Xenopus tropicalis: one gene and its partner. The protein of the gene in region 1 purifies or fractionates together with the protein of each later gene. This does not show direct contact. Links are inferred from orthologs where the notes say so. Each region holds a gene or a part of one and is shown on either strand. Other genes may lie near its edges.

The links.
Region 2: the proteins of arrb1 (region 1) and map3k5 purify together in Homo sapiens (affinity purification with western blotting; 3 studies listed by BioGRID and IntAct, with this or other methods). This does not show direct contact. The link is inferred for Xenopus tropicalis from reciprocal best matches to the Homo sapiens genes ARRB1 and MAP3K5.

What each region holds. Positions count from the first base shown.
Region 1 is NC_030678.2:175,782,908-175,787,019, forward strand, and holds the start of arrb1 (beta-arrestin-1), read left to right. Parts: upstream 1-1,269; 5' UTR 1,270-1,613; coding exon 1,614-1,759; intron 1,760-4,112. UniProt on the Homo sapiens protein: Functions in regulating agonist-mediated G-protein coupled receptor (GPCR) signaling by mediating both receptor desensitization and resensitization processes.
Region 2 is NC_030681.2:58,903,794-58,907,365, forward strand, and holds part of map3k5 (mitogen-activated protein kinase kinase kinase 5), read right to left. Parts: intron 2,349-3,572; coding exon 2,243-2,348; intron 1-2,242. UniProt on the Homo sapiens protein: Serine/threonine kinase which acts as an essential component of the MAP kinase signal transduction pathway. Plays an important role in the cascades of cellular responses evoked by changes in the environment.

The DNA of each region.
Region 1 (4,112 bases):
CTTCTGAGTTATTTTCATATCTCCCCATAGTTTCCCTTTGGGTGGTCCTTGCGGGGTGACACCCAAAGGTGTTTATACCACGTACTAGACCAGGCCTCACAACATGGCATTTATGGGCACAACTCCATGGCATATGGAACGGAAGTTGTTGTTGGCTTTTGCAGCCACTGCCTGGCACTGAGCTCTTCTGCTGAGTATTTTTCTGTGTTATTTTCATATCTCTCCATAGTTTCCCTTTGGGTGGTCCTTCTGGGGTGACACCCAAAGGTGCTTATACCTTCCGTGTACTAGACCAGGCCTCACAACATGGCATTTATGGGCAAAACTCCATGGCATGTGGAACAGAAGTTGTTGTTGGCTTTTGCAGTCACTGCCTGGCACTGAGCTCTTTTGCTGAATTTACTTCAGCATATCTCTCCATAGTTTCCCCGTTTGGATGACATTTAGCGGCTTTGATTTTATTCCCAAAATATAAACCAGACATTCATCTCCATGGATTGTGACCTTACGTTCACTCGCCCTGACTATTCCCAAACCCCTCAACGGAATTTATTTCTCTATTTTCTCCAGAGATTGATGCTTTTGGCCCACATCCAGACTTGGGGTTTTGTTTTTATAATACTCTTGTATGTGTTTTTGTATTTGTATGATTTAAAGGCAAAGTATTCTATTATTTGAATTGTGTTTTGTTTTGTTTATTTTGCCTGTTTCTGGTCCTGACTACATGCACCTCTCCCCCAGGCCTACACTCTAATTCCAACAGCAGAGATAGGAACCCTGCTTACTGGGCTGCCCTGGGAAATATGTTGTACAAGCAAAGCTAATTCACCTTTAAAGCATCTTGCCATACTTTCTTTATTTTGGTCCTGTTTCCATCATTTCCCACTGCTTCTATCCTGACCTACTGTCTCCATCTTGCCCTACTGTCTCCATCTTGCCCTACTGTCTCCATCTTGCCCTACTGTCTCCCATCTTGCCCTACTGTCTTCATTTTGCCCTACTGTCTCCATCTTGCCCTACTGTCTCCATCTTGCCCTACTGTCTCCATCTTGCCCTACTGTCTCCATCTTGCCCTACTGCCTCCATCTTGTCCTACTGTCCCCATCTTGCCCTACTGTCTCCATCATGACCTACTGTCGCCCTCTTGCCCTATTGACCATTGCCCTATCTTACCATTCTTCCTATCCCACTGTCTCCATCATATCTTACAATCCCCATTGTATCTTGCTGTTGCCATTTTGCTGGGGGGAATATTTGGGCCCCCTATCTCTGTCTCTGCATTCCCGCTGGCTGGGGAGGGTCTCACCCATACCCGCGGGAGGCTGCAGAGATTTGATATGCTGGTGTTGTGCCCGCGGCACGCTGTACTGCCGATGACGACACGAGCCAATCAGACTTGCACGCAGGGCATAACACAGTAAATGGGAGAATTTTGATGCAGCTGCTTGGATTGAGAGAGAGCGAGAGAGCGAGAGAGCGGCTGAGATTCCAGCCCGTGGGTAGTCGCTGCCATTGGAGAGAATAAAGGAATCAGTGGGGGGGAGAGAGCTGAGAGGGAAGGGACCGTCGCACACCTCGCTGGCTGGCAGGGCTGCAGTGATGCCGGTGCCTAGATGGATTACATGTGGATTGACAGCCCGTACCTAAGGATCAGAACCGTATTGGAGGAGTCGGTTCCTGCTTGCGTGGTGGCACCGCTGGGAATCCGCTGTGGGGAGCTGGAAGCCCACAAGGCCGCGCCAATGGAGAACGTATTTCTGTGAGTAAGGACAGGTCTGTGGCACAATGTGTGTCGGACTGGGCACAAGGAATCACCCACAGCGATGCCCCCTCGTGCCAACATGACCCCCGGGGTGTTACCTCTAATGAGCAAATCCCACTGTTATTCCCCTTAATGCCCGGTGCTTGCAGTGCCCCCTCTTTCTGTGGCCGGGCTGCCTTTAGTGCCCTGCAGTTTGTGTGGCCCCCAAGCTGTATGCAAAGGGACCCTCAGGGATTGGCTGTAACTGTAGTATAGTGTGTATAGTAAGGCAAGATGGGGCTCGGCATAGGGGCTACAGTGCTGGACAGTGTGCAGAATAAGGTAAGGTGGTGCCAGGAGAAGGGGCTCTAACTATGGCATAATGTGTATAGTAAGGCAAGATGGCACTCGGCATAGGGGCTACAGTGCCAGGAGAAGGGGCTCTAACTATGGCATAATGTGTATAGTAGGCAAGATGGCACTCGGCATAGGGGCTACAGTGCCAGGAGAAGGGGCTCTAACTATGGCATAATGTGTATAGTAAGGCAAGATGGCACTCGGCATAGGGGCTACAGTGCCAGGAGAAGGGGCTCTAACTATGGCATAATGTGTATAGTAGGCAAGATGGCACTCGGCATAGGGGCTACAGTGCCAGGAGAAGGGGCTCTAACTATGGCATAATGTGTATAGTAAGGCAAGATGATGGTAGGTGTACAGGCTGTAACTGGGGGGGGATGCTATGAAATGTAGAAATATGTAATAGGCTGCAGGGGGGCCCCGTAACTTGGCACAACCCTGCCCTGTTCTGGTATAGAGTTTGCACCCTTTGTGCACTGGCACCTCATTCCCAGTGGAACCCATTGGGCACGTAACCCCTAAAGGACTTGTGTCACTGGGAAGCTCTTGGAATACAGAAATGACGTCACAATAGTGCGGCCAATAATGTCATTTAATGGGGCTCTTGGCATTTTAGCAGCTATATGGTCGATAGGGTCCAAATTATCTTAGCAACCAGGCAGTGGTTGGAATGAGAGACTGGGATACGAATAGAAGTGGGACTGAATAGAAAGAAAAGTTACAGAGCTGTAACAATAAAACTGTGGCCGCACAGAGCAATGGGTCATTGGTTCCCAAGAGCACAATGGAGGCAATTCATTGGCTGAGTGACAGTGGGATGTGCAATCTGGCGGGGGGGGGGTGGGGGTCATATAATTAGATTAGGGCTGATAAGAGGATTAGCGTTAGGGAGAGTGGGATAAATATATAAGGCGCTTTGGCTGAGCAATGAAGCCTTTGGGGTAATTACCTTCCTTATCCGCTGGCCCAATCCGGGGCAACTGGAAGTGACCTGGATATTTAGGTGCTCTAATACCATCCAAGGCTGTAGTTGTATAACCAGGCACCCATGGGTGCTATAATTGGGCTCCCAAAACCTCTATTCGAAGTCTGGGAGCCCATTGGCCCTGTGACTTGTATCTTTCTGGGTGCAATTAAGGACTCAGCAGCAGGGGAGGGGGGTGACTGGTCTGGGGCCCAATCACAGTGCAGGGACGGGGCCATAGCCATTGTCATAGGACTGCAAAAGGTACAGGGTTTGCTGGTGAGATGGGCAGGGGTCTGGGCAGGTAAGAGGGTAACAGGGCAGACTGGGGGTTTTGCTATGTATGTACCTAGCCTTGGTTACATGGATTCTAGGGCTCAGGGCCTGTGTGTGGGCGGGGGGGCTAATAACCCAGGCTCCATTGTGGGGAAAGCCCTGCTGATAGCATGTGGCCCAGTCATCTGTCGGACCTGCCAAATATCCTGCATTTTTGCCCCCCGTATATTTAATGGTGATATAAACCCAGCCATGATGCTGCCCCACGGCGCCCCCTAGTTTTGCTATAGAAGCTGCCAAAAACCATCATTACAGATGCAAGGAAATTCCCCAATGAGAATTGTACTGATAAATAAGTTGATTATAAATGCAAAAGAACTGCCCAGTGAGAATGCTGATTCCCAGCACTGTGTCAGGCCCCTTGCTGGTACCTTACATATAGAGATAATGATGGCATTTTCTCCCCTCATTATATGGCACAGGAATCAGACATGGGGATAAAGGGACAGACTTGTTCAGTGCTGGGAAACTGTGCTTATTGCTCCCAACTCCAATTGCAGGAACAGAGAACAGGGAGCCGGATTTACTCACATCAGCTGGGATTCTCATTGGAGGATTTTTCGCATGTTAAAGCAGTCGCTGGCTGTGGGGATTTGGGGGAAAGTTTTATTGTGCAATATTGCTTTAAGAATACAGCCCTGATGTTGCTGGACTACAGCTCCCAGCATGCCCCAAGCTTCATTATATGTTACATTATTGTGGGATTTGTAGCCC
Region 2 (3,572 bases), on another chromosome or scaffold:
CAGGAGGCAGTAAGGTTCATGGACCAGAAACCCCTGTCCCTTGAACACCTTATGGACATTTCCAAAACTTTCTTAAGATTAAAAAGAAAATGTTGCTTTCAAAAAGCAGAAGGACCAAAAAGATGCCGATAGGTGGATGAGCTTGGTCTTGTAAAGATTTGGGGAGGGTCCTTCTAGTGGGAGGAGGTGGGGGGGGACCATCCCTTTAAATACTGACTGTAGTAATATGTGTGGGGACTATGCATACATACCTACAAGTGTATGATATTAATATCATTTAGGCTAATGTCCCACGGAGAGATTAGTCGCAGCGATTTTTAAAAAGCAAGTCTTTTCCTTACAAGCGATTACTAGAGATTTCAACAACAGAGTAATTCTATTTCCCACAAATCCAGGTGTCATATTCCCTGCCCACAATTAGAAATTACATTCAGTGAAATGGGGAAATTGCAGCAAATTCCCGCTCAATTCAATTCTTTGTAAAATCATTCGAAAAAGGGTCTCATAGCGATTAGGAGTGATAAGCATTTTGAAGTGGTATTGTCAGTTTAGGTACTGGCGATTTATATTTTTCTCTATGTAGAGATAAAACAAGCAACTTGTCACTGGAACTCGTTTTCTAAAAATAGCAGTGACTAACCTCTCTTAGCATTTCAAAGTAAACGGGTTGTTCAGTTGTTTATGGTGAAACAGCATCCTTATGGAAATGACCTGACTGACTAACACAACAAAGATTATGATACCTGATTATCTTGTCAATCAGAACAAATCCCTACTTTGGTCAGCGAGATTCTAACAGTATAAAGCTGGCCATACACGTGGCGATCTGACGATGTTTCGTACGACCATCGGTCGCACGAAACATCGTCAGATCCGCCACACACCATTCAGGGCTGAATCGGCAGGTAAGGAGGTAGAAACAATAGGATTTCTACCTCCTTCTGCCGATTCAGCTCTGAAGGGAGAATTTTGGTCAGGCGCCTTCTATGGCGCCCGATCAAAATTTTCTAACCTGGCCGATCGAAGAGCCGACCAATTTCAGCAGCTTCCTGCGACATCGGTCGGCTCGCTGACATACCATACACGCACCGATTATCGTACGAAACGAGGTTTCGTACGATAATATCGGTGCGTGTATGGCCACCTTAACTTGTGAAGCTCTTACACATTTAGACAGATACACGCACAAAGATATATGGAAGGTCAGGGAGAAATCTTCTGAAGGCTACAGTACATATCCTGTGGGCACGTTCGAAAGACCTTTGTATTATTTGCTGTCTCTGGGCTGGACAATCTGAATAGATTGATTCATCTCTGGAAAAGAACCGTGGTTGTCTCCATTTACCTGGCTGTGGTAAATAGTGGAATCTCCAGTATATTTGTAATAATATACTACATATATATATATATATATATATATATCTACACTATGCAACACTGACATGGAGTGAGCCTAGGGTAAGTTAAGCGAAGGGAGCAGCATTGGAAAGGAATGGCCATTTTAGTAAGTTTGTGTATACAGTTTTAAGTAAGACAAAGGTGAAGCAAATTTTAATGGCATACAGAAGGTGGGACTGATTACACAGAGAAAAGTTAAATGTATATAGCAATTGCAAGCTTATGGGAAAATGATGAAAACAAAATAAATAGATAAATACAGGAATAGGATCTATAATGCTTGGGATAATAATCAGCAAGTGAAACACAGCATAAGTATACTCAATGCATCCAGAAAACAACCATGCAAAATTAACTATATTTTATCATTATTTATTAATCATCCACCAGAGTTAGTATTTAGGATTTTTGTTAGCAGTGACAGTTAAATTGCATATTGCATATGCTTTTCCTCAATTATCAATGTATGTGAGTGTATAGATTGGTAGGTGTGGGTTAAGTGTGCTGGGTTTACTTGGATGGGTTGAACTTGATGGACACTGGTCTTTTTTCAACCCTATGTAACTATGTAACTATCTCCACATGTTAAAATGTAATTTTCATGATGGAGTAGTTTCTCTTCAGTGAGCTCAATACCTACTGTTGCAGTAATACTGGACAATGCTGATAATAGGTTAACTACTTCTGGGAAACATATATTCCTAAAAAGAACGATTGTCTAAAAAAAGAAAATGTGAATATATTTTTGAAGTACTCAGCAAATATCAAACACTCAACATTTGTATCCAACAAATTATCAATAGTTTTGCAACAGAACACATGGGTCTATATATATGGGACTCACCAGGTACCAGGATAGTGATAGCTGTCTGCACGGCCTTTCGAATTATATTATCTAAGGCAAACATCCAGTGAGGCTTTATGTTATGATTTCGTAGCACTTTATTTACCTGGTAAAAGAAAAATGAAAATTGACTATACTCACTAAGACAGGGGTCCTCAAACTTTTTAAACAGGGGGCCAGTTCACAGTCCCTTAGACTGTTGGGGGGGCCAAACTATAGTTAGTCTTTAAGATATGGAGCGCCATTAGCGTTGGGCGGTAGGACGCAGTTATGTGACTCACTGAGGCCGAGGGCCACACTGAGGCAGACAGGTAGTAGCCAGGGGTGAGCATACAGCGGGGGCGGGGGCCGGGTAAATGACCTTGGGGGGAAGTATCCGGCCTGCGGGCCTTAGCTTGAGGACCCCTGCACTAAGATTTCCATGTCAAACAGACTGGTCAATAGTTGACCAGCTCCTTTAGGTTGAGGGCATAGGATGTTTTCTGTGCATTATTATGTCAGCAGTACCTGCCACTTCCTGAACTTAAAAAGGAAAAATCTAACAGCACCAGCATGGGCAGTTTTCAACCTAAAGATGCTCTATGTTGAAACATGATGTTTTCAGCTCCAAAAACATTTAAAGCACCAATACTGTGCCAAAAAAGCCACCACCCCCTAATCAATAAATGAAATATAAAGAAGTACATATAATATAGTATAACACCAACCGAATGATTAAAGTAGGGCAAAGTAGAGGGGGGATTGAATTACTTTGTCAGGAAAGAAGTGTAATAATGGCATTGTGGACATATTGTTTAGGAAAGTGCGACATTTATAACCCTTATATAAACTCAATATGAAGTAACTGATGATGTGTAATGTGAAAAGTGCTATAAAATCACTAATTTAAGATTAATTCATCAAATATAAGATTTAAGATATTGAGATCAAAAAGGAAAATTCTTATATATATCTTATATTTTCATTCTTTCTATTCTTTAGGGATAGCACACAGAGGTAGATATCAGGAAACCCAGGGCTGTGGTCTATTGAGTACCTTCCCTATCTGTTAAAGAAGAGCTGAATTTCCTATAAAACACACAAACCACTGGGTACCTGGAAAAAGTAAAGATGAATGAAGTGCTTAAATGCCACTGAAAAGCTTAAAATTTTAGGGCCCATTTACTATTTGTATTTTGCTCTTTTTTACTAATAGTGATTTTTTTATGCTACAAATTGTATATTTTACTAAGTACTTGAATTCCTAGTTTATGAAAAATACGAATACAAAACTTCCCCATTTATAGGAGGAAGAAAGGCAAAAGCTAAGTAAGCTGTATCAGAAAGGTCT